2 linked regions of the Schizosaccharomyces pombe genome follow. The gene in region 1 interacts genetically with each later gene. Each region holds a gene or a part of one and is shown on either strand. Other genes may lie near its edges.

Region 1 (5,377 bases):
TTCGAATACCGGTTCTAGTAAAATCGGTTTTCAAAGCTCCTGTACCAGAATAAGAAAGACTAATGTAATCTGCATTATCAGACCAAATGTTGCAAAAAATGTTATCAAGAGGAATGACGGAACGAAGGGGATGGGTAGCACCTATAATTCCGCATTTACGAAGTTGATTCGTAAGCACCCAGCGACCTATACAGCTTTGGACCACATTGGTTCTATCAAGACAATCCATGCAGTTGGAGCGTACAACGCCATTCTGACGAGATAAAACACGGTACTTTTGAGTGTCTAATGTAGTGTAGCCTTGCTCTTCTAACTCGGGTTGTATTTCATTTAAAAGGAGTGAAACCCGGTCCCACCTCATATGGCTACATTCTTTATGAAAGTCAAAATAATGATAATGGATATGGGGATTATCCAAACGACGTATAACATTTTCATATAACTGTTTAATAGGAAGCTCATGTCCTTTACAGTTGACCAAATTAACTACAACCTGGTCACCGTATATGGATATTTGCTCGTCGAAATGCTTTTTTGCAGCGGCTGCAGCCATTGAAGCAGAATTTGCAACCATCAATGGTTTATAGCGAAGATTATTAACCTCTGCCCAAAAAGCAGGAACACTACCGCGGGTCTGAACATGTGAATAAGTGACCTCTGACTTTTCGTCTGAAACGATAGTAATCTGCTCAGTTTCATTGAAGTTGGCGGGGTTTCCATTCTCGTCTAAACCTCTGGTAAAATATCTAGTACCGGCGCGTTGTTTAGAGCGTCGAGATATTAATGCTAACGTGATTGTTCGTCCCTTAACAATAGTGGAAGCAGAAGTGATGAAGCCGTAAATCATTGGCGTAATGAAAAGTGATACTTCAGAATGGGCACCGATAAGATCAATGAAATCTTTACTAGCAAACTCGTTCCAAAAAAATCGTTTATCACTTCGAAGAATAGGTGAGGCCTTTCCCTCATCCGTACAAGAACGTTGTAGGGAGTTAGTAAGGTCCCATGTGTACGAGAAGTAAAAAGGTCCTGTTTTCAAATGATTTTGTAACAAATTGTATAAATCCAATTCATCTTGATCGTCAGCTAGTAGGTTACGATAGGGAATAACTTCAAATTTATGAACACGATATATTTTATGTCCCAAAATTTGGGCTGCACTAGATTTTTCTGTAGCTAAAATAAGATATTTATCTTTTTTCAGCTTGATTGAACCAAACAATGTGACACTATTTTCTTTGCTGCGGGCAACTGGTTTCAACTCGTCCGGCTCAAAACTAACTGCACCACTTTCTCGGTCAATTGTTAAACAACAATCTTCTCGACGAAGCTTAAATTGCTTCTCGTTTGCTTCAAACTGAACCATGAAGAAATTTTCTAAAGTTTTTGTAGGATAGATACCAAGATCTGTGAAGTTGATGGTTGGTAGACGGCAGACAACGAACCTGCTTACTGCTGTACTGTAACATACGGTTTTCTATGCTAAGTCATGTGGTATTATCGTAGATAGAATAAATGACATTTTCACTATGATTTATCAATTACTAAATTTGCTAGTAAGTATCCATCCTCAATAAAATATTATACTACAATGATCATATTGAAGGTCGCTGAATTATTCCTAGGGTATCTGGTGTTTGTTTAAATATTGAGAATAAATATCTCATTGACATCTTAAAATGTAAAATAATTAACATGAATACTTTCAAAACTTAATTGCCGTACACATAACTGCTAACGCACTTTCACCTAAATATGGTAGATGCTCTTGGTCATGTTGTGCTAGCCTTGTAAATACAAATTTCTTCCACTACCATTTACCAACGGAGTTCCAAAGGACACTCTGAAGAGTGCTTTAGAAGAATAATACATATTTGTAATATTAATAGTAGATACTTTGATTATTCTTCACGTTGAAATCACTATACTACTGTGATCTTCGTTTTGTGGTTGAATCCTGAGGATTCACTCGTTCATCAAAATTTTCATTTTTGAAAAAAAGAGCGAAAACATAGTTGATTTATTCCATTGAAACCTTTTAAATTTTTTCTTTTATATTTTTTTCAAAAAAAGGATTACAATTATCTAGCTAATAGCCGACTTTGGCGATATTTTGGGTTTGATTTGGGAAATTGACTTTGGTGCAAAAAAATAATTTTTTCCATACATACTTCTGATTAGTTTCCTGTTCGTTCTTTCTTTTATTTAAATTTAATTAGCAACATGGATATTCATCGTTGTCGCTTTATCGACTATACCCCTTCAGCTATTACTGCAATGGCATTTTCCCATAAAAGCGGTCAGAATGATTCTATGCCTAACAATTTACTACTCGCTGTTGGACGTGCTAGCGGAAACATTGAAATATGGAACCCTCGAAACGATTGGTGCTTAAAAACTGTGTTATACGGTGGTGTAGATCGCAGTATTGAAGGGATTGTTTGGAGTACCGGTGAAGAGGAGCTACGATTATTCAGTATAGGATTTTCAACTACTATTACTGAATGGAATTTACATACTGGAAAACCATTGGTAAACCAAGACTCTAATGCAGGAGCTATTTGGTCAATCGCTATATGCGATGAAACTAAAACTCTAGCTGTTGGATGTGATGATGGAAGTTGCGTTCTATTTGACATTAGTGGTGGCCCAGGTGTCATCGAATTTAAACGAGTTTTGATGCGCCAAACGTCTCGTATCCTTTCGCTCGACTTTCAAACAAAAGATCATCTTGTTGGTGGTTGCGCTGACGGTGTTATCAAAGTTTGGGATCTTAGCACTCCAAATTCCGCTATAATTTCTAGAATGCAAGTAGATCGTGCTCGAAAAGGAGAAGCTGCTTTAATTTGGGCCGTGAAAAGTTTACGGGATGGCACTATCGTAAGTGCCGATTCATCAGGTGCTGTTAAATTTTGGAATGGAAAATTCTTTACATTAAGCCAATCGTTCAAACTACATTTGGCTGATGCTTTGTGTTTGGGTGTTTCTGCTAACGGAGATATGGTATTTTCTTCAGGGATTGACAGGAAAACTATTCAGTACTCACGCGAAGGAGGTAAAAGAGAATGGGTCAGCAACAGTTTTAGAAGGTTCCATTCTCATGATGTTCGATGTATGGCCGTTTTTGAATGTAAAAGTTTGGATGTTCTTATTAGCGGTGGTATGGATATGATGCTTGCGGTAATTCCTGTTCGACAATTTAATCGCAAGAATCACAGGATGATATCTGCCGTTCCTCAACGCCCTCGCATGGCGGTCGCACCGAAAGCAAGGCTTTTTATGTTATGGAATGATCATGAAGTACTTCTCTGGAGAATTGGGTCTCCTGGCTATAGGTTTTTATTAAAAATTGTGTTGGCTGACGAAGAAAATATTTCACATGCAGCAATTTCTCCTGATGGGGAATTAATTGCAATTTCTTCCGTTTTGAGGACGAAGCTTTATCAATTACAGTATAGCGATGAAAATGTGAAAGTTGAAACAGTTGAGGACTCCTTCCTTTCAAATATTGGTGCTAGCCTGCTTAGTTTTACTGTAGATAAGAACAAGCTTATCCTTGTTAGTAACGATTCCGAGATATTTCTCATTGAATTAAGTCGACTGGATTCTCGTCAGCTAGAAGTTTTCGAGTTATCACAACCCACTAGCAAGAAAATTGCTCCTCGTCAGCGAAGCAATGTAAGCAGCATGTGTGATGGTATTTGCAGTATAGCGGTATCTTCGGATGGAGATTATTTTGCTGTTGCGGACACAGTTGGAAATATTTTCTGCTACTCCTTGTCAAATTTAACATATTCAGAGTTACCACGAGTTAACACTTATGTTCGTGCAATGGCTTTTCGTCCAGATGTACGAGGCCGTTTAGCTGTTGCTACGGCGGGAAATCAAGTTTATGAGTTTGATGTTCAATCCCGTAAATTATCTGAATGGTCAAAAAACAATTCTACAAATATGCCCAAAGAATTTTCGCAACTTCTAGATAAGGCATTCGGAGCATTTTTCGACTCTAAACATCCGAGTCGATTCTGGATTTGGTCAGCCAACTGGGTTTCATTTTTCGATCTTAATCTTCAATTACCAGCGCCTCGCGCTGCCGGAAAACGTAAAATTGAAATGAATGCAACAGTTGACGGGAATCTGAATGACAAAAAATTGGCGAATGCTAATTCGAACGGCATTTCAAATTATGGAACAGGGGATTCTAGGTGTTTCTGGATTACTCACAAATATCGACCAATGCTACTTGTAGGCTCTGTAGGAAACTCTGAATTGCTGGTAGTCGAACGACCAATCGCCGATATGTTGATGAGTAAATCAATGCCAGCAAGCTTTTATGAGCACAAATTTGGCTCGTAAATATGTATTATGTATGAAGATGGAGGAGTTTCTTCGTACTAAAAAAAACGAAGAGGTTTTAATATGTCATTTTACGTAAAAAAAATGTCTGGAATAGGGTGGTATTATTATGATTTTGTACAAAAAGGTCTTTTATTATAGGAGTTTATTTTATTTTTATTTTTTCCGATAAAAAGCATAGATTAGTTGCTAGTTAGTTTATCAATAAAACATTTCAAGGTGACACACCCATCCACAATATGATTATGGCAATGTAGCTGTGAATTTCCAAAGTCTGAGTTGTTTATTCCCATTATCGATTGGAGCATTATGCCTGTAATATGGTTTCACTTGATTCTAGGCAGATAGGCGTACAATTTTACGAACCCAAATTTTTTGATTAATAGACTTAACACGGCGAACTAAAATTTAACCGAACGCTATTTTTGTTACACCACATAATTAGAAAATTACTCGCATGAGGATAATTAAAAATACTCTGGTAAAATTAAAATTATTGTAGAAGACAGCTTGTATTTAAAGAGTAGCAATTACCATCTACAACTTATAAAGAAAACATATTCAAAGTAACAGAATCTTACAAAGGATATATATGCAAATGAAACGAAGAAAGCTCATACATGAACCCGTCTACGTTTCTAAACTTGATTACATTTGATATATTCAAAATAAAATAAAGAAGTGAAATAAGTGATTGACGTAAAAAATTATTTTCTTGCCGATGAGATTATACATTCGTTTGTTTATTGAAATTTGTTCACAACTTAGATAAATCTGTTTAGTAGTACCAGTTTTATGTACCCCCATTTAGTTACTACGATCCCACTTAAAATGTAATACAAACTGTCAGTACTAACCAGAAGAAGGACAATAGTACTAACGACTTAGACCCCCCACTTTGGTACAAAAACACCACCTGAATCAACAGCATGTAAAGTAGAAGTCATAGATTAGAAGCATGAGAACATTTCGTAGTGAAAATAAAACATTGCGTTGAGAAGCAATCTCGTTCAACTACCAA
Region 2 (4,503 bases), on another chromosome or scaffold:
AGAAATCCTCCTTTACAAACCTTTTGAAAAAACCAGCCCATGTTAATAAATTAATAACGTCTAACCTTTCAACGACTCACTTGACAATGAATAATTTTTGCTTATGGTTAGGAGAGTCGCAAGTGCTCGTTTCTATGAGAAGCTCTATCCAAATCACGGTTTTGCATCGTGCTATGAAATAACGTTATTAAGTATTACATTATACTTGTTTGCGAATTTTATCGAGTTGTGCTATTTGAAACTATGAGCGCAATCGATTTGCAGCGCGGCCTTACCGAGGGAATCTTACAAAGTGACTTTTGGACGAAAGTTGTGATTTTGCTATTTTGGTCAGATGAAGTAGATTTTTAATTGATTTTGCTAGAAAAAAAAAACCATTGGCTTCACATTTTGAACAACGCTCAGCCTTGAATGATGGCGACTGCAATCATAATAGAGAAGTAAATCAACAAATCTATTCCTTCAAAGGGTACTAAAGCAAAAATGTGAATATTTTTAAATCAGGTATAGGCTTTCACTGCATATTCGCTTTTTTTTTTTTTGTTTCTCTTTTGTATTGCGACAACTTTAGTGAATCGCTTGAAGTAATATTCTGATACACTTATGGGTTTGCTTCTTTAAAATACGATTCTTTTTGCTTTTTGAAATATTTTAATATCACAATCTATTAAATTTTTTAAAATTTTGATCATTTATACGATTATGAACTTTCATGAATCGCACCAACCTTCGTATTCCCGTGTTAGAGATTCAGCGTTCATCAAGAAATTTTCAACTTTCTCTTCAAAACAGAATGGTTAGTATGCCTTTTTATAAAATTCTACACATCCTAGTCATTTACATGTTATTGTTTTAGTACATGCTTATGCAAACGAAAAGAATTGCTTAACCGACTTTTGTTTACCTTATTGCACCTAGCCGATAGCTTAATAATCTAACGAAGCTTAAAAATATTCGACATTAATAATTTCTTTGGTAAAAATTTTATTTGCATGTGTGCGAATGCGAAATTTCAGGATTATATACTAATACCAACATGCTGGAAATTCTTTAAACGCTATCGAAAAACTAACTTAATATAAAATTTTATATCCAAATAGGTCACTTAAAATCTTGCCAAATCGGAGCTTTCTGTCTTACAATAGTTTAAGATATTTTAATTCCATTCATTGAATTCGAAAATCTATTAACATTAGAAAAGAATCGCTTACATGCCATTCTTTTATATTAACAAATCCTTTACAAAAGCCAGTGTAAATAGATGATGATTCATTGAAACTGCTGAATACTTAACATTGCACACGACGCTATTACGCAACGCGTAAAACAAGATAATGTGTAAGCTACGAAGTTTGGTATCTGATTTAAGGATACGTAGAGCTACGGTGAGTTTTCCTTGTGATCTATTATATTACAATACACAGGTTGTATAAGTAGCAACTGAGTATAGGTATTGTATTAACTGGGTTATAATGTTACCTATCACTAATATAGCTCATAACTGAACTGAGGAACGAGATTCAGCAGTAGCTCTATTTATAGTATTCAGATAATATTGATCTTAATAGATTATCATTAAGATCAATCTCCATATCGTATCATACATGGTACGATATATAATTAGAACATGTGACATATAGTGATACACAACGTAGTGTATCATAGCGTAGTGTAGTATTGCTGACATAATGTATGATTTGTGTCGCTATCATAATTTGTTGGTAGATTACTCTCATTGTGTGCATATAGCAATTCATCAAATGCAAGTAGCTTTATTTGTGTTTGATAAAAAAAATGCCATTTGTAATTTCACGATTATGATGCTCATCTTTCATGCTGAATGTATTCATCGTGGATAGCGACTCTAGTACTCTTTGCTGCATATCGTTACTTAAAATACTGTATGTTAACAATATTTCTATCAACGAATAACAAATTTGCGTTATGCGATGCAATTTACTATGTTTGCTGTCCAGTCATGGCAGATATATCATATCGTTTACACGTACAATATCACTCACACCCAAGTATTGGTCTTTCTACAGCCTACTCTTTGTTGTAGTTTAGGAGGAGACTCTCTCTATATATATTTTTTAAAAGAACGTGTATCTGTATGCTACGCTTCTCATATATTTATCAAAGAATTGTTTAAGTTCATCGCTAGATTCTCTCAATCCAACTTTCCTACCATGTTAACCAGAAGTGTGCTGAGAAAAGCACCTCGCGCTTTTTCTCCCTTTTTACAAAAAAGAAATCTAGCTTTACATGAATATATTTCTCATGATATTCTCAGAAAGTTTGGTGTGGACGTTCCTCGTGGTGCTCCTGCTCGGAGCGGTGAAGAGGCAGAAAAGGTTGCTCGTGATCTTAAAGTCACAGATTTGGTAGTTAAAGCTCAAGTTCTAGCAGGCGGTCGTGGAAAGGGCCAATTTGACAGTGGCCTGCGTGGAGGAGTACGGCCTGTTTATGATGCTACAGAAGCGAGAATGTTTGCTGAACAAATGATCGGTCATAAGTTAATTACCAGACAAACTGGTCCTGCTGGAAAGATTTGCAATGTTGTCTATGTTTGCGAGAGGAAGTTTATTCGTAAAGAGTATTACTTCGCTATTTTAATGGATCGTGAGAACCAATGCCCCATGATAGTCGCCTCCGACCAAGGAGGTGTTGACATTGAGACTGTAGCAGCTGAAAATCCTAGCGCTATCATCAAACGATCTCTTCCCAACAGTCCAAATCTTGACCCTCATATCGCAGAAGAACTTGTTGACAAACTCGGCTTTTCCTCTTCTAGCAAGCCAAAGGCCGTTGACGCAATCGTCAAACTTTACAAAGTATTCAATGATTGTGATGCTACACAAGTAGAGATTAATCCCCTTGCTGAAACTACTGATCACAAGGTGTTGTGCATGGATGCTAAGCTGAACTTTGACGATAATGCCGAATTTCGTCATTCCAACATTTTCGTTTTGCGGGACATTTCTCAAGAAGATCCTGATGAGGCTAGGGCTGCCAAGGTTGGGTTGAACTTTATCAAATTGGACGGTAACATTGGTTGTTTGGTCAATGGTGCTGGTCTCGCAATGGCCACTATGGATATCATCAAACTTCATGGTGGTGAACCTGCTAATTTCCTTGATGTCGGTGGTAATGCTAATGCTGAAGCAATTCGTGAGGCATTCTCTCTCATCACTAATGATCCCAAAACTACTGCTATCTTTGTGAACATTTTTGGAGGTATTGTTCGATGCGACGTTATTGCCAAAGGTCTTATCTCGGTAGTATCAGCGTTGAATCTGAACATACCTATTATTTGCAGACTTCAAGGAACCAACCAAGGTGCTGCCAAAGAGGTAATCAACAACTCAGGTCTCCGTATTTTCTCATTTGATGATCTTGATGAAGCAGCTAAGAAGGCTTGTCGTTTCAGTCGCGTTGTCGAAATGGCACGTGAAGCCGATGTGAATGTTAGCTTCGAGCTACCTTTGTAGGCTGCTAATTTTAACGGCTTTAATGTATAATTGTTTACAACCCCCTTTTCTTATTATCATTACGACATACGGCATCATGGAATGATTTTATATAATGACTTGTGTATATAGAATTCTTAGCACAGCTGTTTACCATGTCTTAAAGAAATGGTTTGTTATTTTTCTTCTTTATATATTTTATACACATTTACAGTTATATAGTAGCATAGTTGAACATCGCGATCGTAAACTCGTGTATTTGATACTATACCGATCGACGAGTGCACTTCTTAACAATCCGACGTTTTCTATTTTAGGGGAAATGTTAAATTGTAATAGTTCTACTATGCTCTTAAATTAATGCAATTTTGAATTTTGTTTCCAAAAATAAAACAAATGTTTTCTTTAATGTTCATTAATATATAAACGTTATTACATAGATAATTCATAACTAGTTTTTTAAAACGAGTAGCTTGTTCTCAAATCGAGCAACCTTTCGAATGATCTTCTGTATTCCCAACCGATTTCTGTTGTCGGCTCTAATTTTGCGTTGGAACAGGTGAACTAGATCCTTAATAGAAATGGGACCAGCTCTTAAAGCCTTCATTACCTCTGCCTCCGTAATCAGATTAGAATCTAAAAGCACGTTAATAAATTTTCTGGTAAATGTAAAACTTTAGCATACCATCAATTGGAACATTTGTAGTATCTCCCACAACCTCCACTTGATCTCCTACACTCGTTTCTGTAGACCCCATGCTAGGGACCATACGGGGAAAGTCATTGGCAAACCGTGATAACTTTTCACTTGATAAGCGGAGAATTATATATCCAGGTTTGTTAATAAGTTGTTCTTGAGGCCTTATTTGAATAGAAGTATTAGGTGATTGTAGTTGCGATGAAGCTTTGACAGGAGATACGCTGCTTGGCGTTCGTTCTAGTGGTCTTGGTGTATTAGTTTTGGAAGCGTTCGCAGAAAATCTAGACTTTAGTTTTTCTTCACGCTTTTGCAATTCTTCTTCTTCTTGCAAAA

The links.
Region 2: mutations in utp4 (region 1) and lsc2 together harm fitness more than expected from each alone (negative genetic interaction), as found in Schizosaccharomyces pombe (one large-scale study listed by BioGRID).

What each region holds. Positions count from the first base shown.
Region 1 is NC_003423.3:3,702,721-3,708,097, reverse strand, and holds utp4 (U3 snoRNP protein Utp4), read left to right. Parts: upstream 1-1,812; 5' UTR 1,813-2,223; coding exon 2,224-4,356; 3' UTR 4,357-4,642; downstream 4,643-5,377. Other genes in the region: sac11 (inositol polyphosphate phosphatase), read right to left, coding at 1-1,366. UniProt on the Schizosaccharomyces pombe protein: Involved in nucleolar processing of pre-18S ribosomal RNA. Required for optimal pre-ribosomal RNA transcription by RNA polymerase I together with a subset of U3 proteins required for transcription (t-UTPs).
Region 2 is NC_003421.2:2,157,410-2,161,912, forward strand, and holds lsc2 (succinate-CoA ligase beta subunit Lsc2), read left to right. Parts: upstream 1-2,019; 5' UTR 2,020-2,189; coding exon 2,190-3,491; 3' UTR 3,492-3,886; downstream 3,887-4,503. Other genes in the region: lnp1 (protein lunapark), read right to left, coding at 21-41; transcription factor TFIIF complex alpha subunit Tfg1, read right to left, coding at 3,922-4,106, 4,156-4,503.